Linked DNA regions of Oryzias latipes. The protein of the gene in region 1 interacts with the protein of each later gene in a pairwise test. Links are inferred from orthologs where the notes say so. Each region holds a gene or a part of one and is shown in the gene's direction. Other genes may lie near its edges.

Evidence for each region.
Region 2: the proteins of mid2 (region 1) and enkd1 interact in binary tests that used the Homo sapiens proteins (3 or more experiments, as listed by UniProt). The link is inferred for Oryzias latipes from reciprocal best matches to the Homo sapiens genes MID2 and ENKD1.
Region 3: the proteins of mid2 (region 1) and hoxb9 interact in binary tests that used the Homo sapiens proteins (3 or more experiments, as listed by UniProt). The two-hybrid records come from large-scale screens. The link is inferred for Oryzias latipes from reciprocal best matches to the Homo sapiens genes MID2 and HOXB9.
Region 4: the proteins of mid2 (region 1) and top3b interact in binary tests that used the Homo sapiens proteins (3 or more experiments, as listed by UniProt). The two-hybrid records come from large-scale screens. The link is inferred for Oryzias latipes from reciprocal best matches to the Homo sapiens genes MID2 and TOP3B.
Region 5: the proteins of mid2 (region 1) and spg21 interact in binary tests that used the Homo sapiens proteins (3 or more experiments, as listed by UniProt). The two-hybrid records come from large-scale screens. The link is inferred for Oryzias latipes from reciprocal best matches to the Homo sapiens genes MID2 and SPG21.
Region 6: the proteins of mid2 (region 1) and slc25a48 interact in binary tests that used the Homo sapiens proteins (3 or more experiments, as listed by UniProt). The two-hybrid records come from large-scale screens. The link is inferred for Oryzias latipes from reciprocal best matches to the Homo sapiens genes MID2 and SLC25A48.
Region 7: the proteins of mid2 (region 1) and dcx interact in binary tests that used the Homo sapiens proteins (3 or more experiments, as listed by UniProt). The two-hybrid records come from large-scale screens. The link is inferred for Oryzias latipes from reciprocal best matches to the Homo sapiens genes MID2 and DCX.

What each region holds. Positions count from the first base shown.
Region 1 is NC_019868.2:12,830,012-12,834,045, reverse strand, and holds the start of mid2 (probable E3 ubiquitin-protein ligase MID2), read left to right. Parts: upstream 1-1,234; 5' UTR 1,235-1,608; intron 1,609-4,034. UniProt on the Homo sapiens protein: E3 ubiquitin ligase that plays a role in microtubule stabilization. Mediates the 'Lys-48'-linked polyubiquitination of LRRK2 to drive its localization to microtubules and its proteasomal degradation in neurons.
Region 2 is NC_019867.2:6,232,711-6,236,674, forward strand, and holds the start of enkd1 (enkurin domain-containing protein 1), read left to right. Parts: upstream 1-1,164; 5' UTR 1,165-1,342; intron 1,343-2,140; exon of another isoform or gene 2,141-2,155; coding exon 2,156-2,240; intron 2,241-2,421; coding exon 2,422-2,649; intron 2,650-2,920; coding exon 2,921-3,093; intron 3,094-3,174; coding exon 3,175-3,309; intron 3,310-3,964. UniProt on the Homo sapiens protein: Microtubule-binding protein which regulates microtubule organization and stability. Promotes the stability of astral microtubules and facilitates the proper orientation of the mitotic spindle.
Region 3 is NC_019866.2:24,161,626-24,165,858, forward strand, and holds the start of hoxb9 (homeobox protein Hox-B9), read left to right. Parts: upstream 1-1,433; 5' UTR 1,434-1,602; coding exon 1,603-2,215; intron 2,216-4,233. UniProt on the Homo sapiens protein: Sequence-specific transcription factor which is part of a developmental regulatory system that provides cells with specific positional identities on the anterior-posterior axis.
Region 4 is NC_019867.2:30,362,273-30,366,473, forward strand, and holds the start of top3b (DNA topoisomerase 3-beta-1), read left to right. Parts: upstream 1-1,401; 5' UTR 1,402-1,503; coding exon 1,504-1,573; intron 1,574-3,082; coding exon 3,083-3,214; intron 3,215-3,317; coding exon 3,318-3,424; intron 3,425-4,201. UniProt on the Homo sapiens protein: Releases the supercoiling and torsional tension of DNA introduced during the DNA replication and transcription by transiently cleaving and rejoining one strand of the DNA duplex.
Region 5 is NC_019861.2:37,280,528-37,284,756, reverse strand, and holds the start of spg21 (maspardin), read left to right. Parts: upstream 1-1,429; 5' UTR 1,430-1,563; intron 1,564-1,729; coding exon 1,730-1,792; intron 1,793-4,229. UniProt on the Homo sapiens protein: May play a role as a negative regulatory factor in CD4-dependent T-cell activation.
Region 6 is NC_019868.2:29,276,432-29,280,395, forward strand, and holds the start of slc25a48 (solute carrier family 25 member 48), read left to right. Parts: upstream 1-1,164; 5' UTR 1,165-1,240; coding exon 1,241-1,292; intron 1,293-2,192; coding exon 2,193-2,236; intron 2,237-2,419; coding exon 2,420-2,491; intron 2,492-2,603; coding exon 2,604-2,856; intron 2,857-3,964.
Region 7 is NC_019872.2:14,739,830-14,743,329, reverse strand, and holds part of dcx (neuronal migration protein doublecortin), read left to right. Parts: intron 1-499; coding exon 500-589; intron 590-2,809; coding exon 2,810-2,907; intron 2,908-2,992; coding exon 2,993-3,049; 3' UTR 3,050-3,500. UniProt on the Homo sapiens protein: Microtubule-associated protein required for initial steps of neuronal dispersion and cortex lamination during cerebral cortex development. May act by competing with the putative neuronal protein kinase DCLK1 in binding to a target protein.

The sequences.
Region 1 (4,034 bases):
AACCTGTGTGTTAGACTATAAAACAAAGCATTAATGTGTCTAGATGGAAGGTAGCCGGTGTTAGAGGATGCAGACAGGGTTAGATGGAGGAAGCTTATTCGCTGTGGCGACCCCTGAAGGGAAGGAAAAGAAGAAGAATTTGGATGGGATTTTAAAAAAACAAATTGTCCACCCAAAGCTCTTGTGGTCTAGAGAAATATTTCATGAGGATGTTTTTCATATTCTGACACAGCTTTGATGTTAGTCACACTGCAGGATGGTTTACTGCTCTATAAGAGCAGCTCCACATAAATAGATGCAGTATTACAAAATATTTATTTGTGAGTTTGTGGTTTTGCACAATTTGCACACTTTTATTCAACCTTAAATAAGGGATTGAAAAACTCAATGCATGTTTTGTGTCACAAAAGCTGAGGAGTCCCTGTAAAGCTTCTAATGTTGAGCAAGTCATACTGACAGGCTCCAAATGCTCTGCCCTGGAGTATTTTATAGCTTCATTTTGTGTGTTTATATGTTTACATAAAAAGTTTGCAGGTTACGGAAAAAAATATAAAACAATGGACAATACAGGCTTGTGCTGTTTGCAGCCCTTCAGGCTAATTGCAGTTCTGAAATGCAGTATAACTGTTTTACAGAGAAGGCCTGTGAGACAAAGAAAACTGTATTTTGGCTTGCTTGTGGGGATAAAGTTGCAAGGTTGGCAAGTCTCCCCTGCTAATCCTGTGGCCTCCAGCATGTTGCAAAGATAGTCTGTCCCAAATACATGCAGTAGGTCAGTTTAACATACATTTCTGCTCAGATATTTTGCGGTCTCTGACAATAAATCTGGAGGGAAAATTTGATGTTTCTTTCTTTTTTTTTAAATTATTGCATAAGCAAAAGGTAAATTTTTACCTTTTTAAAAAAGTATTGGAAAATAAAATATTTTGTGAAATTGCTCTTGTAGTATAATTGGTCTCCAGTTGGGAGTTATTTTTACTAAGTGGGCATTGTCTGTGTCATGGCAAGATTGTAATTCATTTTTAATAACGACCATGTGTTTTTTTTTTTAATCCACAATTTGAATAAAATAAATAAATGGGTTAAAAATAAAAGGACATATTTTTAGTATCTATAGTTCTTTGGAAATCTATAAAGACTGCACTGTTGAAAGTGAACAGAAATGACAGCGACGCCGTGAGGCCACGCGGGAGGAGAGCGCGGGTGGAGCAAAAGAGACGTTGTGCGCACAGCTCGGGGTTTTCACAGTGGAGCAGTGGAGTAACCGATCCCAGATGCTGCCGTGAGGGATCGAGAGCTATTCCCGTATCCCTGTGGGTTGCCCACGTGACTCCTCGGGGATTGTTTGGTGTGGGGACCACGTCAGGCGGCAGGGAGAGCGCGCAACGTTGCGCGCAACTGAGTTGGAAAGCAGCACCCAGAAGAGGAAGACGCGCTCTCGCTCCTCCGGCGGCTCGTCATCCAGATGTGTTTTGGGGCGTTGACTCTCGTCTCTCACCCACTCTGATGCTCAGTCGCACCTTTGTCCAAACTTTCCGTCCAGGATCTGTGATCTTCTCCAACTGTTCTTCCACGAGGGTCCATCCAGAGCTGTCACGGGGGGCGGAGGTAAGCTGCGCGTCTTTGTTGTGTTTATTTTTGGTGGAGTAGCCTCAGGACAACGTGCGCTGAAGGATAAGCGCTGACTGAAGCATCCGTCAATGCGCGAAGGGCGCGTTCTGTTCTAATGACCCACATCCATGGAGGAGGGGGGGGGGGGGCAGAATGAAAAACAAGCAGAGCATGACTGACCATCTCATTCTGTTTTAAATGAGGTGTGCCACTTTTACACCACAAGCATTTTTTTTTTGGAGAGTCAGGAAACTGTTTCTACAAGATTTTGTGGGCATTATTTTGAGTTTCTTTTATGCACATTTCATGCACACCACACGTATCCTCTGTGGTATTGCATAGCATTTCAGGAACCAAGGCAGCCACCATAACTGACACCTGATCCGGGAGCCTGATGTCAGTGAGACGCTTTGTTTGAAGAACACTCAAAAAAGCTGGGAATAGCTCCTGGAGTGTGACATGAATACATTTCACAATAGATTACAACTCAGTTAAAAACTGAAATTAATTACCATAATTTTTAGAGTCACATTTTTTGTTATTGACACAATTTTTGTTATGGTTTGGCAAAGGGTGCTACTTATATCAACCTTTTCCTCTTTATTAGGCATTTTTTGGCTGCTGTGACTTAAACTGTGAAAAATGTAGTAAAGTACGTTTTTTGTTTTGTTTTCTCATTCCTAGTGACATTAGGGAGAAAGTGGCACAGCGGCAGAGTGTAAAATGTCAATGGGCAGCAACTGATCAATAATGAATGAGTCAAAACAATGCAGGGCAGGGAAAGAGGGGTCAACTGTCACGAAGTGCTGCTTGTCCCTTTTTTCACCAAGGCTACCCATTGATTCAATAGAAACCAATACATTAGTGACACAATAAAACCAAGTGCTGTGTCTGTTGCTGGGGAATTCAGCGGCACATTTGATGAAGTGGTGTTTCACAGTCTTTTAAAGTGATTTATGGTCCCCTGCACTCTTTTCTTGCTCTGTGGTTAATGCACGATCAAAGTGGCTAATGAGGCAGGTCTCAGTGGATGGGGGCTCGACACCCAAATGCAGTCGAGCTAGTCGTGAGAGTATAGCTGACACCCTCATTCATCATGGTTCTACAGGCCTGCTCTTTCCAATTTATCTGCTTTTTTTTCCTTCCCCCTTTACGCTCTTAGATGGTAATTATTATGATGTTTTAATGATGACAACAGTAGTCACTTTTTTGTGACAGGGACAGGGGTGTCTGTCAGTTGACACGCAACTAGAATTTTGCAGCTGCAGAGGATTCCATGAATAGAACTGAGAGGTACATGTTAGACTGTGTGTCTTAGCTGGCATTGCTCACACAGAACCAAAAAAGAAAAAAAGAAAAAATTTAATTCTTAAGGAAAAAACAAGTCTTCAAAAAGTACTGTTTTTTTTCTGACTATAAGACGCTCCAGGGTACATGCCACAGCAGCCAAAAAGTGCCTAGAAAAAAAGAAACGATCATATATAAGTCACACTTTTGAGAGAATTTAATTAAACAAAATACAGAAAAGGGATCTTAATCTTGAAAGGCAAATCCTATTTGCAGCAAAATTTCACTGTACTTGTACAATGACAATAAAGCTATAACTTTGATGACTTCTTTTCAATTTTTATAATGGAATGGATAACAGTAATAGTCAAAATATCTGTACACTTCACTACCATAATACATTGATTCCTATTTAGCTTCATGAAACATAGGAGTAGTTTAGAATAGCCCAACATATGAACAATTATTCAGATAACCATATCATAAAGAACATGCTAACAAGTCATTTAAACTCTTTATATTACTTCAAATGACTAAATCCGTTCAATTCTTCATCCTCTGTTTCACTTTGGAACAATTCTGCTTAGCCCGGCGTAAGACTGAATGACTCTTCTTCCTCTCTGATGTTGTCAGTAGCAAATACTGATACACACACCTACAGTGCCTTCTAGCTGTTGTGCATTTTTTCTTTTTTTTAAAAACACATATAAGTCACAACTGAGTATACTTTGCACCCCCGCCCAAATACATGCAAAAAAAATGCGATTTATACTCCAAAAATAGGGTATATGTATTATTTATTTTTTAAGATTAAAAAGAAAGAAAAAATTAACTTGTATAGTTGCTAAACTAACTCTTATCACCTTAAATGCCCAATATGATCTTCAGTGGCTATCATTTTGCTATTAATTTTTAATGTTTCAAGCTTTAAATAATGTAAAATGTTCTGGGTAATAATAAAAGCTGTGTTTAGCTGAAAGAGAGCTCAGTCTGTTGTTGATACACAAGAGTGTCATCAGCATAGAAATAGAAATGTTATTTGACTTTTAGTCCTTTTTTTTAATTATAATTTGTGTTTTTAAAACTCACACATAAGAACCTGGATCAATTTTTTCATCAAGTAACTGAAAGTTTCA
Region 2 (3,964 bases), on another chromosome or scaffold:
GTACAATAACAAGATGCCTTCTCCATGTAAGCATGTGTTTACGCATAGTTTGTCTTGCCATTACATAAAATCATAAGCATGATAACCTGAAATAAACAAGAGCTTCACTGACAGACAGTCGCTGTGTCAGGTTGATGAGGTGCTCACAGCTCCAGACCAAAAAAAAAAATTTCAAAATATTCATGGCATCACGCCCCCTAGTCCCACAAGTGACAGTGTGTTTTTGTGAGCATTCTCTCCACCTCTGGTTTCAAATGGTGGTAACAGCCTGCAGCGTTCAACCCCACATTTTAAAGTTAAGACCTCCAGTCCCCTGTGTCACATAGTTCAGATGTTTGATCAACCAGTAAGACACGTTGGGATTTTTTTCACCTTTTTGTTGGAGCATGCATATATTCATGATGAGAGTTAATGAGCGACTAAACAGGTTTAAACTTCACGTTCTACTTCAGCCACCGCAGGCCTGGATCTGGTTTGTGTTGCTGCGGTTCTCCCACCCTAATGTCTGAGTGGCTCATTTCAGCCTCGACCCTTAAAAAAACTGTTGTCAACTAGAAAGTCCTGCGCGCAGACGGACGAGATGATTTAGAAATAAAAGAATCTTCCAGACAAAGCGTGGACCTACCTTTGTCTTTAAAGCAACGGACTGTGCACACTTTAGCAGCGCTGTTATGTGCAGCTGGACACGGTGAAGGAGAAAGCACAGGCGGCACCACTGCGCATGCGTCGTAAAACCCTCACCGAGGGCGGGGCCCTTGTACAATTGACATTGAGCAAAACATATTTAATGAATATATATATATATATATATATATATATATATATATGTATTCGTGTTTTATGAATCTATCTATCTATCTGTCTGTCTGAAGACCAACATTTTATTTTAAGATAGAATTACTGAAAAAAAAAACATTTAGTCAGTTGTGATGTGGTACGGAGCCACGTAGTACGGTGACCTGACATGTCATGTGGAATGCTGTATAGCAGTAAAATCGAGTTTTCTCGTTGCCTTACAGACGAAACTCAGGGAAAGGAATATATGTTACCAAGTCACGACAGAAATACACCTGCCAAAGCTATCAGCAAAAAAACAGGCCAATCAAAATCCATGCTATAATACTACTTCTTTATACTGTAAATAATATGCAGGCGAATCTTCATTATAATTTCGGAATTTGTCATTTACAGTAAGGTTTTATGGGTATCAGCCCTCTTCCTCGATGTTCGACCTTTGTGCGCATGCTCCGTTGCCATAGTGACGACTTATACAGCCCCACAAGTGGTTGATACCAGAGCGTCATCGAAGAAAACCCTAATCCTTTAACGAGACATTTAAAAGGTAAACAGTGTATACTGATTTTAGTGAGCGGTTTATTTTTGATTAACGTTACCGATAAGCGTGTTTTATATTTCTCCTTGCATGCTTGTTTGTATTAGTTCTTGTTCGAGCTAAGTAGCGTATTTTAGAACCAGCTAATAAACAATAGCTGTTCACTTAACAGAAATATATGTGAGGATAAGGGCGCAACAAACAAAAGCAAGAAAACCTTTTAGCTTTAATATACAAGATAATCGATGCTCTATATGAAAGATGATATTGAAAATAAAAATGATTCCAATTTGGTAAAGACAAATCTTGAATGTTATATATAGGTGGCTTTCAACAAAGAAGACAATTCCAACATTAACACACTTTAACATTCAGTTCGGTTGTATTATAATTTATATGATAATTAGAATAAAAATATTGTTATTTTAGATTAATTTAATGCCAATCTTTTAAAAACACACCTATTTTTCCTCTCTTAAAAGTTGTCATATTCTGTGTGGGCCTCTATAAGAGTTAAGAAACTCTTGAATTGTTTATCGGTTTATCTGGGTTTATGCCCTCATTTCTCTTGATTTTATTTCTACAATTTTATTTAATGCTAACTTTGCTTTGGATTTGTATGTTCTTCATGAAATAAAGTTTTATATTTTTTAATTTTGTCAATATGAGGTTGGAAAAAAAGCTAGTAAATGAAGTTTTTTTCTTGAAATATCTGTTTTACATCATGACTGAGAGTTGTATAGTTTCCATGATGCTTTGTGTGCAAAACATTTACAAAGATTTATTTTTGTTGTAATATTTTTGAAGTTTCTTCTGTTTTAGATGTGTGAAGGACCTTCATCAATATCTGGCCCAATTCCCCCAGACCCTTCACTGTTTCCTCAATACTACCAACGACCAGCTTCAGGTTAGAAGCACCCAAGCATAGAAAAATACAGGTGTAATGTGCATTTGTCTGTTAACTGTTTTTTTTAATGCCACTTTTTTTTTCTTAATTAAAAAACATTTTCCTAAATGTATATTGAGCATTTTATATTTTCTTCATTTTGGATTAAAATGGCATCATCTTGTTGACTTGATTCTTTCAGCTCGTGGTCGTTTAGAGGGGAACCATGCTGGAACTCTGGGCCTTTTCTTGGGCCCCTTTGCTCCTGATCCTGTTGTGTTCCCAGGCTGCTATAGCTCTCGTACAGCAGTCCACCACCGTCCACGCATTGGCCCCAACGCAGCCCATATTCTGGAACGGGGTCGGAAAGGCGTCGTGGGAGAACTGATGAAACTAGACAACGTCTCAGTCAGTCCTGCTCCAAAACCGAGTAAGTGAAGCTGCTTTATAATCCATTGATATTTCATTGTATTTAAACAGCTGTGTATTGGAACGCAGCTGTGCTTTTTCCATCTATTTAAGTCAAAACCAGTGCTTTTTTAAACTTGTTTTAAGATTTATCAGATTTGTTGTAAATATAAGAATCTCAAAGGTAACTAAAACAATATTTGTGCACTACTTTTAACTGGATGGTAGTAAATTTGGCTAATAATAAAAGATAAAACTATTATTTGGCTAACTTTTGTTGCTTGACCCTGCAGAACAGAGAGTGCATGACTTTGGTAAAGAAAACGTACGCCGGCTGAAGGAGATTCAGAAACGCTGCAAAGAGCAGGAGGCTGAGAAAGCCCAGGCCCGTCCTGTTCCAGTGAAAGCTTTGTGGACTGCTCCAAAATACCAACATGTGTCTTCCAGGGTGCTGGCCCAGCTAGAGGCAAGGACTACTCTTATTTGTCATGAATGTAACGCTTTTGAGCTTTTCTACATGAAAGTGCGATCTGTTCCCCTCATGTAGAGTTCTACACCTACGGTAAAACCACAGTGTCAAAACTTCCTCAAGGCCCACTCTAATGGCAGTTATGCTGCACCATCAGTACCTTCACTTGCTTTCAAAAATTCATGCAACTCTGCGCAGGATCAGGACTTGAAGGTAAAAGATTAAGAGTAACTTTGTAAACATGTAATATTCCTATTTTTTCTACTGTGACATTTTAGTTTATAAACACATTTGGCAACATTTCTGGACAGAAATGGTCATTTTAGAGGACATGTGCGAGTGCTATAGTTAAGCCTTTATATTAAATAACATCCATGTATATGGTAAAATATTACTGGGAACAGACAATGGAATGATTTTTTAATCAAATATGAGTTATTTCCCTGAGCTTTACTTCCCAACCCGGAAGTAAGACGACCCGATCGCTGAGGCACCGGCTTTTGCTCCTCGTGGGTGCAGCCCATTTCATTACGTCATCCACCGGTGTCAGCAATTGTTTATTAAAAAAAAACAACCTCCAAACTTTTGCAAAGATGGATGTGCATAATGTGCATATAAAAGGAAATCACATATAAATATCATATAAAAGCTGATCACCGCTAGCTCCGCTGAGAAAGTGGGTGGGTGGGTGTGTTAGCTTGGGGCCGGAGGTGGCAGCATAGATTCTTCCTGGAAGGGACTGTTCTCACTGGTCTGTGTCAGCTCAAGAGAGACCAATTGTTTTTGTGGGTTTCGAGAGGCTGGTGCTCCGAACACAGAGTATTAGAGGAGTACTCAGAAATGCTTGAACAGAGCAAAATACCGCTTT
Region 3 (4,233 bases), on another chromosome or scaffold:
ATAAAAGTGGTTTGCAAAAGCATTTCCAAACGTTCCTAATTAACGCGCTCTCTGGTTAGCAGCGAACCCAGCAGGGCGGAGGCCCCGAAAAATTAAAATTCCCCGAGCTTTGCGGTCTGAGGAGCGACTGGGAAACATCCGAGGCATCGGGCAAGTCCCAAAGAACAATATGCACGCCCGCGATTCTATTCTATTCTATTCTATTCTATTCTATTCTATTCTATTCTATTCTATTCTATTCTATTCTATTCTAGGGTATAATATATGATATAATATATAATATTTGTTTTTTTAATGCACTGAGGACATTGGATTGCTATTTGTGAGTTTGTTTTTGATTTGAAAGCGGGTTTTTTTTTCTTTTTTTCTGAAAGAAAGTGTCTCGTGCTTTGGCTCCATGGTCCTGGTCCTGAAAGAACCGTCAGTTTGGATCTTGGTTCGCTGCTGCCTCTTGACTGAATGCCATCTGAATGCCTTTCTTTCTCTTTTTCATCCCTGAATCCAGTTTTTTTTTTACCAGCAGATCTGAAAGCTTCGCTTCATCTTTCCCTGATCCTCGTAAATAACACCGTTAGCCCCCATGAGCAATCTAGTTCATATTTACACGTCGTAAATAACTGTAGCTGCATATGCAACGTGCAGACCGGATTTATGGCCTCCAAAGAGTCCAAAAGCGCATGTCTGTCATAATTACAAACAAACAGAGAGACTTACAGCCGCGGTGACGTCAGACTCCGGGCGCCTCCGGTACATGATGCTTTTCGGGTCCACATTAAGAGTGTAAACCTATAGTTTGATCGGGATCCAGCGCGGAGGAGCAGAGCGCTGATCCTGCGTTCCTCCAGCGGCCGGAAAGAGAGGCAGCCGCTGCTCCGTCCGCACCACCATGAGTCATATATAAGGCCTATAAAACTCAAGCAGCCGCCCCTGTGTGGGATTTTATTGTGGTATTAAATGGACCCCCAAAAAGTGGATGAAGTCGAAGAAAGGGGCTGAGGGCGCGCGGGAGCCGCGTTAAGTTAATGGCGCTCGTTAACAGAAGATGATTGTTAATCCGCCTGTTAAAGTAAGCGGCTGAGAAACTTCCCAAAAAAGAAAAGTAAAACATGAGCAAGCACTTCAGGAGTCACCGCGCGCACTCTGCAGATAGACTGTTGGAGCTGCAGATCAGAAGCAGCAGAACCGCTCTGCGGCCATGAGCGTTTCCCGCGTTTGTTGCAGGTGGACTGTAGTCTGAAGAACTTCTTAGGGCTTTATTCAGGTAAACAAGAACCTCCTCAACATTCAGGTTCACACACACGTGGGTGCAGGGGATGGGGGTGGGGTCAGACTCAAAGGCAACGTGAATGAGTTTGCGTGAAATGGACAAATCCGCGCGGCTGCAAACTGGAACATTTTGTTTGTGGTCACAGAGTCTTTGGGGAGGAGGGGGGTGACGAGGGGGGTGAGAGCGTTAGAGAGTGAGAGAGTGAGAGAGCGAGAGTCAGAGAGGGGGGAAGGCAGCAAAGCAGAAGAAAAGAAGAAAAGAGTGACGTAAATCTCATAATGTCCCTCTTCTTCTGCTTTAACAAACTCGCGGCTGCACGCGGATAATGTCCGAGAATGTCCATTTCTGGGACCCTCAGCAACTATTACGTGGACTCCATCATCAGTCACGACAGTGATGAACTCTCCGGTCCGGCCCGCTTCTCCGCCGTCCAGTACTCCTCTCCAAACTCTTCAGTGGCCGCGGGCGTCAGGCAGCCCGTGGCCGCTGCACATGCGGAGCATCCTCATTCTGACTCGTACCCGTCCTGCAGCTTCCAGCCCAAACCCCCGGTCTTCTCACCGTCGTGGAGCCCGTTCAGCCCGCACCACGGCGCCGGCGCTCTTCCCGCCGTCTACCACCCGTACCTCCCGGCGCAGCATGTTCCCGCGGCGGACACGCGCTATCTCCGCTCATGGCTGGACGCCGCTCCTCGCGACCCGGACTCTGTTTCGGGCCAGAGCCAAACCGGGCAGGTGAAGCTGGAGCCCCAGCTGGGACACCAAGGCGGGGACATCCCGCTCAAAGTGAGCGTGCAGCACCCGCACGAGACCACCACGTACATCCTGGACCCCGTGTCCACGGCGGCGCGCGAACTGAGCCTCCACCCGGCGGCCGTCCCGGGCCGGGGGTTCGAGGAGAGTAAGGAGGGATGTGAAGGCAGCGAGGACAAAGACGGCCCGGATCAAAGTAAGTTATCAAGGTGGGAAAAACGCGTGGGAGCGCGAGCGCGCGGATGGAGATTGTAAACGCGTTTAATGCAGCCATAAAACAGGAACAAAGGAGAGCTGAGCGCAGCAGCCGCGGCTCACGCGCTCACGAGCTCACGTTAAAGCGAGTTTGTGGTGATTTTTCTGTGTCTGAAAGCGAAGAAGTACATTACAGAAAAAGGCCATTTTATGCCTTCATATTATGGGATGTTGCTGTTGCACTGACTTAGGACGGAGTGGGATGTGCGTCTCCAGATGACTGATTTCTTTGGCGAGAGTCCAGCAGAGAGTTCGATATTTATATTTAACGGGACAATTATCAACCAAAAGCTGGTGAAACATGGAGACCCGAGCTGCGCGTGCGGGTTCCGATGGAAAGCTGACATAGTAAGGTGCATGCGTGAGTTCTGAACCGGTCTTCAGTTTGTCTTTATTCTCTGTGGGGTTCGAACGCAGAAGTGGCATTTTTGGAGGAGAGAACGGTGCAGCAGAGGCTGCTCTCCGAGGGAGCTCGGGTCCCCTGACTCATTAACCTCCCGCGTGAACCTGCAGGCCCCGCGCTGCCTCGACACGCAAACCTGAGTGCGGGACTCTAAGCGATCACAGAGTCTCTGTATCGACACCCGAACCATGTAACTGTTGTGCTGCACGCTGCTTCTTTATCTCGCTCATGCTTTCTTCTGCAGTTTATTTTGGCATTTGATTTTTTTGTCCCTGTGGGCGCGCGCGTTTTCCTCGCAGCATTAAACACGAGTCTCCTTCTGAGCTTCTAAAAACTGCAAGCAGTTGATAAACAAAAATCCGAGCTCAGCCTGATGCAGGCGTGCGCGTGAGTCCTGTCTGGGAAACATGGGAGACGCTCTGAATTAAAAAAATCTTTCTTGATAAATAATCAGCTTTCTGTTTTTCAACCCTGCTTGATTGATGATATAACTTTTTAGGAATTGAATAAAGAAAATTATTATTTTATCACTATATTTTTAAAACTAGTCCGGTGTTATTATCTCGAAGCACACTCGTATTCAAAACATTAGTGATTTATTTAAAAAATAGGTTGTGTATATAAATAATTTTAATTTTAAAAGTGATTCTAAAAAATGTGTTCACATCTTTCAGAATAATTTCCTAATTTGCGCATGCGTCACCGCTTCAGTTTCTCGCTGCTTTTTTTCTTTAACTCTGCTGCTTCTTCCCGCTTTTCCTTCTGCTCAATCTGGCAAAAACAAACTCTTTCCAAAGTGCAACTCGGGCTGTTTCTAATCTCCAGCAGACGGCCATTTTGTGCCAAACAGATGCCGAATGCAACAGACGCCCGTGCAGGTCTGATCAGAAATCCTGTAGCTCACGCAGCTGAGGGCTGTGGCGCTTTAAAGTTTTTTTTTTCTTTTCATTTCACTCTCCTAAAACCGCTTTAGGGCGAACATATTACAGACCTGCTGATTGAATGCAGCAGAAATCAATAGAACAGTTTGAAGTCATTTATTAAATCTTGTAAGAGTCCAGACAAACCAGTGCCCTTTTATGCTTTTTTATGTGATCTTAACTCAAAACAACACTCAAAATTAACATTAAAAACATAATGTCCACAGGAGAAAACAAAAACCCAGACAAACACACCATAAAGGCAATAAAATATTATAAATATCTATTTCCATCAGTCAAAGTCCGTCTGGCTGTGATGTGTTTGTGATTTCCTCCCTCATGACTGCAATAGCAGCTCATCCTTTAGCAGCAATGCTGAAGAAATAAATCTAGAAAGTTCATAACTAAAACTGTATGAATGAGCTGTGAGACAGAATGGAAGAAGATCTCAACACCTCTCTCTGCTCCATCTCGTGTTGAGATGCTTTGCTCCTGCTGGAGCTCAGGACACCTCGGGCCTTGAGCTGTAGGAACATTGTGTCCTTTGGTTCTCCACCGATGGCAGCAATTTGAGACGCAGTCGGAGAATGCAGCAAACATAATTCTGGAGTGTCAGTTTATCAACAGGCGGTCGGG
Region 4 (4,201 bases), on another chromosome or scaffold:
GTGGAGCTTTGGGTTTTCTCTGTTTGTCTTTGGGATTAACATTCATTTTACGCCTTTTTTTTGTCATTAAAAGAATATTTTAAAGTTTCAAAGTAAGAATCTGTTTGACTTGAACATTCGGTGGTTTTGTTTTCATTTAGATAAATGAAAACATCCGGGTAAAAAGAAAATCGTGAACATTTTAGGGTCAACTCGCATTAAAGTAAATTGAGATTTTTTTTATTTTTTTTACAGCGAGTTGAATTAAAAAACAGAAAATTACTTCTCAAAGAAACAGAAAAATGCTCTGAGATAAATCATATTTTTCCTCTTTAATCCCTTTTCAGTAAAGTATCTCATTTTATTTAGAATAGAATAGAACTTGAATCGATCCCACAATGGAAAACTTGACTTGTTACCATAAAAAAAGGATAATAATGAAAACAACACAAAATACAGATTACAAATTCAACAATAAAGTGTCCAATGTCTATGAGGCGATGTGGCTGATGGTGGAAATCTTCCAAAGAAGAAAGAGTGATGGCAGGAGGAGGACCTCACCTTTATAGATTCAACTAATCACTATAAAATTACATTTGAAAGCATTTTTTTAAATGCCAGTTGAGATGTAGCTGCTATGGACACTGAGACACTGAGAGGTTGTCAGAAAAATGTGTGGGAGCCAACATTCTTTGGACTGTTTCATCAACTTTACATGCAAGTGAACATTGCTGTGGCGCACTTCTCATTTCCTCAAGTGGAACACAAATACATCTAAATGTGTTTTTACCAAAACGATGTAAAACTGTTCCTCTGATCATTTACATGGAGGCCGACTTTCCCTTTTTTATTGACACTTTTGACATTTTGGAAATGAGCTTGAAAGGGTCACAGAAGGGTCAGGAGACGGTGCTACTGCAGGTTTACAACGGCTTAAAACACAAGTTTTCCCATCACAATCAAGAAGTAATACACCGTTTTTAGAAAGTGCTGGAGCCACATGTTATTCATTTTTTGGAAGGGAATCCTCAGACCCACAGCCGGACTTTGGACATGCCTACTTTAATGCAATCTGTTGCAGTTGAAGAAAAGTGTCACAGATCTTAAACTCCGTTCATCTTTTGATCTGTTTTCAAAATGTTCCCACATAGAACTTTGAACATTCTTCATACTTCTGACCTGATTGTTTGTGGAATATCTTGCATTGTTGTTGTTTTTTTGGTTCTTGTTTGAAAAATAAAATAAACAAAATAAATACGGAGAAATGCCATTTTAATCTCGTATTTCTTAGTTGAGAAAAATGCCACAACAACGATCCCCGCCGCCGATCAGCGGCTGACCGCAGCTCCACCAGCGCGCTGCTGTTCCTCTCCTCTCCACACGGGGGCGCAGCGGGCGAGCCGCAAAAGCACCAGATGACCCCGGAAGTGAAAAGTTTGTTTTTTACCGGGACAGAGAACAAACCTGTCCGTGGAGCGGCTTCAGAGTTCTGCTGCAGAGCGGAACCGGACCGCGCCGTGCAGCATGAGGACCGTCCTGATGGTGGCGGAGAAGCCGTCTCTGGCGCAGTCCATCGCCAGAATCTTGTCCAAAGGTTGGTCCGGTTCGGAGGCGGGTTGGGGGTTGGGGGGGTCATCTTTAGTTTAGAAAAAGTATATTTTTGTGGGGTTTTTTTTGGTTTTGTTTTGTTTCATTTTTTATGAAAGAATCTTTCAGTAACAGGAACACTGTGAGGATCCAACAGGGCAGTGGCTATCATTCAGGAGGAGACAGTTGTCATGGAAACGGTGTTCGAACAAATCTGGAAAATCTTAGTTTCAAATCCCCGAGACAGTTTTCTTCATCTTTAAGATAGTTTTCTTAGGGCAGCAAGTCATCTGCCTCACCTAAGCATCTCCACTTCATCTTCCTCACTCTCACCTTCCTCCCTCATGTCCTCCTCCTCTCCATCCCACACATCTTCAAGTCCTCCACCTTCTCCACCTCTGCTCTCTGTGACATCGCCATTCCTCATGAGTTCCTCTCATCTACACAAAAACATAGAGATGCAGAGGATCACAAATGTTCTGTTTTTCTACGTTACAGTCTAAAAAGAGTCTGGGCAGATTGAACATTGAAACGTGAATCTATCAGTTCTCCTTCACTATAGTTACAAGCTTTAGTGTTTGTGCTCAGACCTTTGACCCTCGTTGTCTCCTGTTGGGTCTCATTATGTCTCCTGTCTGGTTTTTATGTGCATCATTGTTGTGAGGCATTGTTGTCGTGTCTCATTGTTGTCTTGTTATCTAGCCTCGTTGTTGTCTTTGTCATGTCTCATTTTCTTGTTGTCATGTCTCATTGTTGTCTCTTTCTTGTCTTAATGTTGTCTCATTGTTTTCTTGTTTTCGTTTTGTTGTCCTCTCATTGTTGTTTCATAGTCGTCTCATCATTGTCTCATTATTGCCTCGTTGTTGTCTAACTGTTGTCTCATTTTCTTATTGTTTCCTTTTTGTCATATTTCATTACTTTCTTGTCATGTCTCATAGTCGTCTCACTGTCATCCTGTTGTCTTGTTTTTGTCTCGTCGTCTTATTGTTGTCTCAAGGTCATTTTGTAAATATCTTGTTGTCCTCTTGTTGTCATCTCATTGTTGTCTTGCTATAGTCTCATTGTTGTCTCATTTTTGTCTTATTGTCGTTTCGTTGTGTTGTTTTTGTCTCATTATAGTCTTGTTATAGTCTCATTGTTGTCTCTTTGTTTTTTTTTTCATTTTTGTCTTATTGTCATCTTGTCTTGTTTTTGTCTTGTTGTCTTATTGTTGTCTCATTGTCATCTCGTTGTTGTCCTGTTTTCGTCTCGTTAAAGTCTCATTGTTGTCTCATTTTTGTCTTGTTGTCGTCTCATTGTTGTGTTGTTTTCTTGTTGTGACTGTCAGACCTTTGAATGTGGACCAGAACTATATTGTCTGCAGAAATCGGAATCTTTAGTTTCTTGTTGACGGTTGTTTTCAGACCCACAAAGGAGATCCAGAGTTAGTTCTTGAGAGAACCCTGTGGTTCTGCAGAGGAACTGCAGGCTCGTCTGTCCGGACGCTGACACTCACCTCCGCTTTCGCTCTCCCCAGGCAGCTGTACGAGCCGTAAAGGCCTGAACGGAGCGTGCTCAGTGCACGAGTACACCGGCACCTTCCAGGGCCAAAGCGTTCGCTTCAAGATGACCTCGGTGTGTGGACACGTCATGAGCCTGGACTTCATCGGTGGGTCCACTCAGAATCTCCACTTTTGGGGACGGTGGTCCTTGGCGGATGGGAATGTCCGCTCTGGGACGGTTCTCCTCATTTCTTCCTCCTCTTTCTGCAGGGAAATACAACAACTGGGACAAAGTGGACCCTGCAGAGCTCTTCAGCAAAGCTCCAACGGAGAAGAAGGAGGCCAACCCCAAACTCAGCATGGTCAAGTTCCTTCAGGTGGGTCAGCCAAGTGGGAGGGCAGTAGGGTTGGGCGATGTCCCTTAAATTGGCCGTTGACGATGTTTGCTGTCAACCATCGGGATGGACGATGACATCGTCGGGGGGGGGGGGGGGGGGGGGGGGTATTTTTACATTTTTCGTTCTTATATAACTGCTATTCGTTTTTTTGCTTTTTTCATTTTATTTCCCAACTAATGACTAATCCGCGATGATCCAGTATAAACTGAGGGAAGTGACTTTAACAAAAAAGTAACAAACAAAATAGAAAAGAAGTAGTCCGCTCCCGCACTTCCGGGGGAGTGCGGACTTACAGCTTTGTGTTTGATGGGAAGGGGGGGGGGGGGTACATGAGCGGTATGTGTGGGAGATTTAAGACTGCGATCCGTCCCGCAGCTCTAGGGGTACAAGCAACCGAACTCAGAACCGGGTCTAAGTGCGTGTCTGAGCACAGCTCGGATCGTCAGCAGAAACACAGCGGTTTGAGCTTCAAAGCAGAAATGTCGCTCAGTCCTTAGAAAACATTCAAAAAATCACGCGGATTTGTGTTTCCAGTCGTGTCCCGACTAAATAAAGTCTGATGTTATTCTTACATGTTTACGTGCAGCCAGCAAGCAGCACCACCCAAAGCTAATGTTGTTAGCCCGTGTTAGCATACTGCTAATCCTGGTTTCGTTCAGAAAAAGCACTGACCACACGGATTAAAATTAAAATGATGAGCGAACAGGTGTTTCATAATAACCGTAACATTATTAAAAGCAGGTTTAGAAGATCGTC
Region 5 (4,229 bases), on another chromosome or scaffold:
AACGTTCATCCAAATGTGCATTTATACCTTTAGGGAAAAGTAGAAATACACGACTTGTGTATTTCTACATCTGTTGGTACTTTTTTTTTTTACTTTAAATTGTGTGATGTGGGCGGGGCTTTTCATATTCTGAGCAGGGATTGGTTAGTGGGATTTTCTGCTCTCTGTGATTCTGTACGTTTGATACTTTCCAGGAGACTCAAACGTGTTCTAGACTAACCACAGTGGGTCTGGGCTCTGGCCCCGCCCCCTCACTAAGGTTTTGACCTTTGGACATTGGTGAATGAGTTCAAATGCGTCCATCCTTCAGACCTTCAGCAGTGCAGAACGCTGCTGCACAGGACCGTTCTGCATGTGTCGGATGGGAGATTCCAACGTCTTAAAGCACTTCTTCTGTCTTCTGGAGCTTTCACTGCCAAAACGTTTGTCATTGAGACGCTGATGTGCCTGGAAGAGAATCTGATGCAGCTTCTTCCCTTAATGTGTCCTTAAGTCTGTTTGGGGCTCCAGGACTTCCCTCAACTTTATAAAGTTTGGTAAAAAAATCATTTCTACTGTTGTCTTTTTGTGGTTTTCCTCCTTTTTATCTTCATTATCAAACGTTTGTTAAACAGCTAAACAGTTTAGGGTAAATAAATTCACTTTGGGGTTACGCTCATGTTTCACAAGCTTTAAAGCTGCCTTTAAGTTCCAAATGGGAAGAAAACATTTCCAATAAACTGACCTTCACAGTGGGGACGACCTGAGGAAGCAGTTTAAACCTTCCATAACTGATCTTCTCTGCGTCACGTCAGACACACTTGGAGGTGGTTAAACGATTTCAGATGAAGCTTTTAAAGAAACAGCTGGAGAACCGATGGGGGCCAAAGTCTGAACGACACACCAACACCGCTCTGGGAAACGGAACCAATCTACACATCTTGTCATTTCAGTTTCCTGTCCAGGTTAAACCACAAAAAAATGAGAACAGACAGGATTTCAATGAAAGACTGATCCACACTGAAGATGTAAATTATTCCATTTTACTTGTATGAATTGTAATTTCAGAACAATTTACGAACAAAAACGCATTTCATTCAAGAATTAAGTTTGTTTTAGAAAGTTTTTCATCCAAATATTTTGATGACTGAAGTTAAAATTATGAGAAGAATTACCTTGAGGTTTGACCGATGCGTTTGAGAAAAACGGGGATTCGGAGATTCGTTGGGTTTTGTGTGGAAAGAATCTCGAGTCTGTAATGTCTTCTTACATTTCTATTGATTCCATATTCAGACAAACATTGAATACATTTGAGTGCTACATTGTATAGGATGAAAACTGTAACGACAACAGAAATTAAGCAAGACTTAAGAAACCAAAGCGGCTTTCTTACTGCCGGAGAACAGGATTTTCAGAGCGACCGCGAACGCAGCACCGGAGAGGCTACTTGCGGAAGTGTGTGAAAGGAAAATCACATGACCGAGCTGCAGCCGCTCCAAGCGCTACCCGACATGGACAAACGTCTCCGGACACGGTGACCCTTCACCGAGCAGCGGCGTGGGCTCTGACACGGTGACGTCCACGGTGAGTGGGGCTGGCGGGGCGGTCGGTTTCTACGCCGTTAACGGGGTTACCGCGGGGTTCGTTTAGCAGCTAGCCGCTATTATGGCTAACAGCTGCCCCCGCGCGGAAGCAGCTGAGCCCGGACACCCCCGCACACACACTTGAGTCACCGTCTCTGTGTCCGCAGATGGAGGAGATCAAGGTGTCTCCAGACTACAACTGGTTCCGAAGCACCGTGCCACTTAAGAGGGTAAGTTCCCGCCTCGTCACGCGCCTCACTCCGGAGCAGCTGGACCGTCGCCGATGCGATGAGGGCTAACGCTCGCGCGCGTTGAAATTCTTATGAAACACCTGCTCTCGTGGTCACGTGATACAAAAGCACCCCAGGTGTGAAGGGGTCCATTCCGTGACGGGTCATCGGGATTCTGTCCTGCTGGATCAACCTTCAGGTTCTGATGAGCCGAACCTGTTCAGAACCGAGCTTCAGGACAAACACAGCTGAACTCCTTAAACCCAGAGAGGTTATTTTTCTGAAACTACATGCACACCGTTCAGACCAGGTGTTCACACTGCGCCTGCAGGGAGGGGCTTCTTCTTCTTCTTCTTCTGTTTACTAGCCTCAACCTACAGTCGGAGGAGGCTTGCTGTGAAATGTCCTCCAGACTTTTGTGACTGACTCTGTCGTAGAATTCGGTTGGTTCTGTAAATGAACCCTTTAATCGCCGTGGCTTTAGCGCCCGTGTTCTTTACCGTACCTGGTTTTAAAGCCCTCCTATTCAAAGGTTGAGGATTACTTTATATGGAAATGAGGGCGTGGTCTTTAAGCTGACAGGTGGTGGTAGTATCATGGTCTCTAAAGCACACGTTAGCTTGTCACGCTGTCTAAGAAACGTTTTACAAATGTTATGCACTAATACTTGATCTTGTGACCTGCTTCCCTTCTGTTCAATAAAATCACCATGAAAACAGTTGACAAACAACAAAATAAGACCAAGAACGCACTGCTTAGACCACGCCCCTTCGCCATTACGTGTTTTCATTTTGTCCCTTCTGTCTCACCTGTTTCCTGTATTCACTTTTTAAACTGGTTTATGGTTTTTCTGGAGAACCACAGTTTGGAAAAATGAAGCTCCGCTCAAACAGATGTTTGATAAAATCATAAAGTTTTTATGATTTTGCTCAAATGTTGTCTTTTTTCAAATTTTATTTACATTCAGATTGTTGTAAACATTGTTTTTGTGGTTAGTGAATATAGTAGGAAGACTCTGCATCTCATTCCACAGCAGAAAAAAAAGGTTTTACCTTGGAAAAAGGAAGCTTGGAGCCTGACAGCTGTGTTTCTATTTTAGTCTAAGAAAATATCACAACGTTTTCTGCTAAAGATGTTTAATTTAAACCTCACAAATCCCCTCATGAGTGTCAGGCGTCTCTGCATTTAGTTTGTTAGGTTTTTTTCAAGATTTGTGGTCAATTATTGCTTAAACAATCGTTCTGATTGCTTTAGTTCATGACTTTTGTGTTGAGTTCTGCGTGAAAATGAGAAATCTGAGGCTGGATTTCAGCGGCACGGATCGCCCTCTTGGATTAAGATGAGATTAGCTTTCAGAAAACGGGTTTGGTCCTCGGATCTGCTGTTTGGTGGAACAACGGCTCGCGTTGTCTTTTGGAATAAGACGATTATTCCCGTCGGGTTTTTAGCTCACAGATCTCTTAAAAATGGGGATTTGTTTGGCGTTGGAGCCGACACCCGGCTGGTTCCCGCAGCTGGAGGTTGAGCCGCTGCTGCTGAGGCTCTGAGAGGTGGAGAGTCATGTGACGGCGTTCATCACCCAGCCGTCACATGCTTCCCTCAGCTTCACACGGGCATCACATGTGCTGCTTTTACTGGCACGAATCCACTCGTTTTCCCTCTGCTCACTCATGCACTTCAGGAGAGATGCATTCTGGGACAGAGAGGTTGAGTGACTGATGCAGGTCAGCTTCTGGCAGCACGGCTTAAAACCCCCCAGACAAGTTTGATCTGAAGGATTTAAGATTTTCAGAAAAACCTCTCTGCAGATTCTTTTGTTACCACTGACTGTATACCGGAACTGGACGGAGGGGCCCCTCCCCTTTGCTACAAACAGGAAGTATCTGCAAATCAACAGCTGTCATTCTGTTGGTCAGAAGAACCGTTCTGGATCGGATACCTTTTTGTTTTTAAACATCTACTTGATAAAACTCTTTTTTTTTCCTGTATCTCAAGTTAGTCAAGTCATTAACTGGCCAATCAGACGCCTCAATAAAAGTAGGCGGAGCCTGTTGACCCCCTTGTCCAGTGTTCAAAACGTTTACAGCTTTCCAGTGGTAGGGGCGTGGCCTTCCAACAAGCTCACTCCTGATTGGTGGGAGGGGCTGCCATAGAACAAAGCGTCAATGCTAACATTTTAGCTGTTAGCACATGAATTCTTCAACTGGATGCTATTTGTTCTGGTTTTGCTTTTTAAGATGCAGAATTTTCTTTTTCTTTTTTTAGTTGGTGTTTTTCAGCCTTTGGCTCCGGTTGATCATTTTGGTTGAACTCGGCCTTTTGAGTTCTTCTTGTGGTCGCGGTTCACTTCTGACGTTTGTGCTGCTGATCGTTTAGTGTTCTGCTTCCTGATTGGCTGTCGTCAGTCCGTCTCCTGAACAGAACCCATCAGATGGTT
Region 6 (3,964 bases), about 16 Mb from region 1:
GTTATCAGTGTGTAGAGGTGAAAACATGAACAATCACGTCCCGTAAACATTAACATATATGATTTTAGTGTGTTGACAGATACCTTAACTCTTTCTTAACCACTGCTTAGAATAGAAAAGAATAGAATAGAAGAGAATGGAAACCCTTTGTCATCATTATACACATTATGACATTTAAAAGTGGATTCATAAAACAGAATCAGGTGGATCTGAGTTTAATACGGAGACAACTTTAGGGAACAAACAGTTTGAAGTTGTTAGACGAAACTAAAACCAATTCTCCAAGCCATTTAAAAATGTTTTTAAGAAAAAGTTTCTTTAGTAAAGAAAAACATCTGTTTTTAATGCAGTGAATGTATATTTTTTGTAAAATAGTAAGACTATATTCTGAGTGACACAGTGAGTTTCTGTCCACCAACAGAACTGTTTTGGGTCTGAAACAGCAGAAATACTTCAGTTCATGTTTCTTCTCTACTTTGTTACCTTTTAGGAAACACGAGGCGTTCAGAAGCTGAGGGTTTGTAACACTCAGAATCTAAAAATAATAAAAATGCATGAAGAGATATCTGAATAGATTAGTCAGAATGAAAGGGTGGAACAGAACATCAGGCGTCTCAGGACTTTATGTGATTGTTCTGAAAAAAGAAGCTTCTGTTTTTCTCTATGAATATCTCCTTTTTAATGCAGCTTTTACTCTCATTTAATGTAGAAACAACATAATTGGACCTTTTAAAATGGAATTTATAATAAAAGAATCATTTTGCTGAGAACCAATTAAAGCGTTTGGAGTTTAAAAGTGTCACATAAATAAAATGTTCTTACAGAAACCATGTTGGTTATTAGATGTTTGCAGCTGAACCTGCAGAACCGATCCGTTCGTGTTTCCGTTCTACCGGGAACTTGAACGGGTTCTGGACGGTGGAAGAACGTTCTGTGCTCGGAACCCTCAAAGTTGGGCTGACGGTGGGCGGGTTCTGGGGTTCTGCTCCTCATGGCTCATTTCCATGTCCGCCTCGCGATTGGCTGCCGGGTTGGAGGAGCGCGCAGCTGATTGGTCGGCTTGGGTGCCCTGCAGGGACAGCCTCGCTTCTGATTGGCCGCTGCCTTGAACCGTTCTTATCATCGAACACCTTCTTTAAAGTGTTTGTTTGTCCTCAGAAAGGATAAAAGGCGCAGGCGCGGCCGTGTGCACAAATACTTACACCGGGCGGCGCGTGCGTGAAGCCGCTCGGAGTGAAAGATGCAGAGCTCGAACTTCCGTCTGGATGATTTCCTCGCGGGATGGATCGGCGGTGAGTGACAGACAGACAGACAGAGACCTGATGCTCCTTTCTATTTCTGTTTTTCATTAAAGTTCACAAAGTCAAACTTTTATTGTGGGAGAGCGGGGGGGGGGGTTGTTTGGACCCCCCCCCCCCGTTTTTGTTTACGCGGATTTTCCGCTCCCCCCCATCTCCGTGCCACACTGACCAGTGGCCTCATATTGGATCATATTGGACCGAATCTGGTTCTGAGGTCCCACATCTGGCTTAGACCTGGGGTGGGGGGGTGTGGGCGGCAGAAACTTTCTTGGGGCTGCAGGGACGCGCGCGGCCCCCGGGGGGAGGGGGGGCAGCCCTGCCCTGTGATTGTGTAATCTAAAGTCGACCTACATTCGCTTTTAGTGCCATAAAATGATTTTCCTGGAACAGGAACTGGATCAAAAGTGGGATCCCTTTGATGGATCTGTGGATCCTCCAGGACTAGATCTTCCAGCTGGCCTGAAGGAAAGTCCGAGGTTTGGGTTGGAGCCTCACGAGCTTCCATCCACCGATGAAAAATCCCTTAGATGGGGGTCCGGAGGCTGCAGGAACCAGGACCCTCACGCTCAGACAGATGTTGAGGTCCTCCCAGCTGCAGATGAAACGATCAATAAAACGGCTGCCGCCTCCTGAAGACCACGGCGGCGTCCCAACTCCTCCCCTACCCACTACATAGTGTACTACAGATGGGGCGTTTGCCATTTTGTAGTGATCGATGCTCACTAGATTAGCGAATGCTTTTAAATCCAGGGCTCTACAGTCCTGCACCATCTAGTTTTTCGGGTGGGAATTCGGACACACCCCTGACGTTTCTCCAGCCTCCCGGCCCGCGCTGCAGGTCCACAGGTCAACCTCCGTCATGGCGTTCACTCCTCTGTGTTTCTTCTGCAGGAGCCTCCAGCGTGGTGGTGGGACATCCGCTGGACACAGTCAAGGTACGGCATCTCCGGACCCGCTCTGTCATCGCCGCACCAACGCTTTTAGGACTTCTGACGCTTTTGAAAGCCCTCAGACTCTAAAGCGGAACATTCCACGAGACCTTCAGGAGTCAGAGGATCGATGGGCTTAACGGGTTTTTCCTGGTCCAGCTTCAGCAGAGCCCATGTTTTGTGTTTCAGACCCGACTGCAGGCGGGAAAAGGCTACGGGAGCACTCTGCACTGCATCCTCTCCATCTACAGGAAGGAAACGGTAACCGGCCCGGCTCCACCTCTGTGGCACCTTCAGCCCGGCTGCTGGTTCTGGTTCTGGTTCTTCTGTGGGTTAAGGACGGAGATGACGCTTTTCTCCCGTGAACCTCCAGGTGGCGGGCTTTTTCAAAGGCATGTCGTTCCCGCTGGCCAGCATCACCGTCTACAACTCCGTTGTGTTCGGGTTCTTCAGCAACGCGCAGAGGTTCATCAGCACCTATCGCTACGGCGACGGGCGCCACCCCTGCAGCCTGCTGGACCTGACGGCGGCCAGCATGCTGACGGGGATGGTGTCGGTGGGTCTGGGGGCGCCGGTGGACCTGGTCAAGATCAGGCTGCAGATGCAGACGCAGACGGTTCTGGCAGGTGAGCAGAGGGCAGGCAGAACCGCTGAACGTCACATACTTTTTTAATTATTACATCATCGTGTTGCTTTACATCAAGCACCCCCTAGGGGTCACTTAAAGAACTGCTCTGGCTCCATTTACTGTTTTCTTTTTTAAAGACGTTTCAACCCGGAAGTGAAAGAGTTGGCTGTGTCGGGACAGAACCTCCTAAACAGTGAGGCCCCTTCATCGCTTTCAGGCCCGGCAGAACTTCTCAGGGATGTGAAAGGATCCGAGTTAAATCCAGAGTCAATCCTGGTTCTGATCTGTTTGCAGATAGAAACGTCTGCAAAAACCCAAACGGATTTCTGCCTTAAATATCTTTTTACACTTAATAGAAAACAAAAGGAACCAGTGATTTCTCAGTGAGATGCAGCAACTTGTTTAAGACAATAAATCTGGATTATTTTAAATCCTTTGATCTTGAAAACAAATTAGTTTAAGTAAAAATATAAAATAAAAGTATTACTTTAAGTAATGTTTTTAGACAAAGTAATGGTGAATGATGAGTGGTAAAAAAACAGATGTATTTACTGTTTCATTTGAATTATAACACAGAACTTATATTAACAAACATTTACATATTTTTTTAATAAATGTATCTTAAAATGAATCATTCTAGTTTTTAATAAGAATGTTTAGAAATAAGAATAGTTGGGCTGTTGAAGCTCCTAAAACAGGATCTATTGGAGGAAAATGGATCTACTCTAAAGATTTAAAACATTTTATCGATACTTTATTTTAAACTAATGTTTTCAGTTTTCACAGCATTAAACCTCAATGTGAGATTTCTTTTGTCCTAAAAGAGCAGAGAAAGGCCTAAATAAATGTCCAAGCTTTAATCCTTTTTGTAAAATGATCCAAACTTTCTGGTTTCAGAGGATGGGATTTGTGCTTCAGTGGTTTCGTTTGCGTCGCGCCTTTCTGTTAAACTTTAAATTCTCATAAATCGGAGGTCTCATAAGTTTAGGCGCTGAGTCGGCACATCGCTCTGTTTCTCCTGACGCCGTTCCTGAGCGACGGCGGAAACAGCCGTGATTGTTTTACGACGGAGCAAAGTGTCTCCGCTCGAAGCGTCTGGATGAGCC
Region 7 (3,500 bases), on another chromosome or scaffold:
TCATGGTTTCTGCTACAGACTAGAGAACCTGAGAGTCTGGACTATTTTGAGCCTGCGGAGTTGATCAGAGAGGCTGCCAGTCTGCAGGAGTGATGGTGGCACACCTCCCAAACAATGGCAAAGAAATGCAGTTGTATGTGGTGGTGTCTGTGAAGGTTAAGAGGAAGAAGATGAATGTGGTGAGATCCCAGGAGATGGAAGGAGGACAGACAGTATAATTAGCATCAAAAGAGGAAGAGGAGGGAGGGGGAGGGAAACTGCCTGACAGTACAAACGCAGAGGAAGCTTTTGGAGAGGTGCAGCAGTGTCTGGAGTATGTCTACTAATATGAAAAACACTGCTCCAGAATATAATGGGATTATAGTACAAAATAGAATTGCATATGAAGCTTTGCTTCACCATCTGACTGATGGATGCATTTCTAATCAGAAACAGAAGTGTTTGCAGCTTGTTTTTCCAGTTTGAAAATAAAGATCTTTTTTTGACTTTGTTTTGACAGAATGCCGGGTGATGAAAGGACCCAAAACCCCACGTGGTTCAGTGAAGAGTCCGGGTCTCATCAAACGCAGCAAGTCACCCACTGAATCCAGTGAGTCTATTATCTTGAGCACAGTGAATACTGACATTAAGACTGCTTTTTAAAAATAAAAATAAAAGGAAAAAAAATAAAAGGATGCCGATAACAATGGGGCACAATACATAGTGAACAGAACATTAGATATGAAAGTAGAGGGATGGAGCTCACCTTTGACCTTTGTCTAAGGGGGATGGTGAGGATTGGGGGATTATTCCTATTCAATAATGAATGAAAATAGATGACTGACTTGGTTAAAGATCCGCTCCATTGAAAATTCTTAACATGTTTTTGTGGCTTTTTTTTGATGGACATGTATAAAGAAAATAAAGGTCAAATTTGCATATCTGAGTATTTCTTTATTAAATCGTGGTGCATCTCGAGCAGATTAAAAAATGCCGTCTGAAGAAGCGTGTAGTTGTGACAAAGAAATTACAAATGGCAGGCCACAAGCTCCCTGCTCCGCTTTATTGTGATGGATCCACTTGTAGACGTCATGTACCTCCATGTGGCTCCAATATTGCTCGCCATTTTTGTTGCTGTGCCAGTTGTCCACCCACAACTCATAGGTGTTTTTTTTTTTTTTTTAATAAACTACTGCTACTATGCAGAAACTATATCCTAATAAACCACATAGAACACTTGACCTTGGGCTAAAAACACCATAGTCAAATGAACACTTGAAACGATTTTACAAAAGATGATTGGAGTGGTTCTTTAATGTCTAGTAAGGACAAATTTTTTGTGTCAGATGACACAATGTTTTCCTGCAATTTTTTTTGGTTTGAAAACCTTTGATAAAATCTCTCCAAAAAGAAATTTGACTGTCTAAAATTCAACATTTTTTATTCCTAAAACAAATTCTTTTACTAAGAATTAAGTCATTTAAAATTCTGCTTTTTTGTGGTTCTTTAATCTGAGTTGTAACGCAGTATGATGTGCCTTTTTACAAAGCTCTATGAATAAAACATAAGTAAACAAAAGCTCCTCTGAGCCATTTGTCAGAGAGGCAGGGGAGTTGAACATGACAATATCCAGAAGGCAGCAGATCATTGAGATTCTGCTGCTAGCTTTAAAGAGCTTTTGCATCTTTTAACAGATTCTACTCGTATCTGGTGGTAGCTTTGTAATTTGCTTTAAGAACAAATAAGCGTAAAGAAACTAGATGGATGTCTACTTAAGGACTGTGGAATTCTATTATTGGAGGTTTGATGAGGGATGATTGACAGTAAACACAGCTTATGGGCATTCAAGATGTCAGCTTTATCTATGAATCTGGAAGCTGAGGGTTCACAAATCTTGATAATGGGGTCACGGCACAGGAAACGTCTCACTTGCCTGGTAATTTTGACAAGTTTTCAATAATTCAAAAACAATTTCCTGACTGTTTCTGATATTACCACTTATCCAATGTTTTTTTTAATATAATTTCTTGCAAAAAGAAAAATTAAATTCGTTTTTTATTTTTATTTTTTTTACTGATTCTTTTACTGATGCATACAATATTTACAGAATCACAAAATGATCCATTCTACATCTATGTTTCTCTCTGAAGCATAACAGTTGCATGTGTTTTGTTTGCCCATTTTGCTCACATGCAGTAGGGAGAAGAGATGTCAGAAAAGGCTGAAGAGTCAGGAACTTTCATGTGCGATGAGGAAAACCTTTTTTTTTGTCTTTCAAGGCTCAGAATGTGATGACTGATCAAAACTCCTGCATGTTTTGTCTTGAAAGCTGCTTATTTTAAACCAACCTAGTTTCTAAAAATCAAGCAGTTTTAGCATTTTTCCTATCCTTGTGTGACTTTTCAGTGACAGTGAGGCGTTTTCCTCTTGTTGTATTCGGTGCCTTTTGGCATAAACGGAGACTCGCCATCTGGTTGCGAGTCTCCAGGCCTCCTTTCATCTTTCATGAACAAAAAGCCTTTTAAAGTGTTTAACTCACACGGCTAAATCACCTCACACTGCTCCAAAATACAAGCACAATGTCCCACACTGAGAGAATCCTAGCAACGAGACGCAACACTAAGTCTGTGAATACAGTGTGCACTGACAAACAGAACTCATCGGTTCAGTAGAGCTGGAGCTCCAGTCTGGCTTTATTTGTTGCCAAGTGAGGCCACAATAAAGGACCGACTCTTCTAAAGGGTTGAATCATCTTATGCATTGTTTAAGATACAAAGCTGACTTCATCTTTTACTCCTTCATCTGTCCTCTCCTGTATTGTCACTTTCAGCCAATGGGACCGGCTCCAGCAGCCAGATCTCCACCCCAATTTCCAAGAACTCCCCCACATCCACCCCAACTAGTCCAGGTCTGAACAACAAGCAGAAGGTACTGGTCCATTTCTCTGTAAACATGGTTATTTCTTAACACAGTCCTGATGCTCAGATCACGGATACCTCTGCTCTGTTTTCAGGATCTCTACCTGCCCTTATCTCTGGAGGATGATGATTCCCTTGGTGAATCCATGTAGACTCTCATCCTACGTTTGGCCTGAAACACTGAATTTTTTTTTCCCCCCTCTGCTGCTTTCAACCTTCCCTCACAGTGCCACTATTGAGGACAACCAGTTTTTGTTTTTTAAGGCCTTAAACACCATTCACTGCTCTGCAAAAATCTCTTTTGATCACATTAAAATCCTCTTTCGATTTCCAGAAAGGTTTTTTGCAGAATAAACAACTTCTTTCTTACTAATGTCACAGTTTAGTCACAGATTTCACTGTAAGTGCCCTTTTTCTTTAAAAACTTTTTAATCATTAAGCACACCAAATTTAGAATTTCACTCCAAATTTCAGGCAGCAAAGTTTTTTGTACAACATTTTTGTGATCATCCTCATATCCTTGTCGCTCTGCCCTAAGGATGACCTTCCCAAAGGACGTTTTTTTGTTTTTTACCCAAAATCTTTCTTACTTGCTGTAAATAC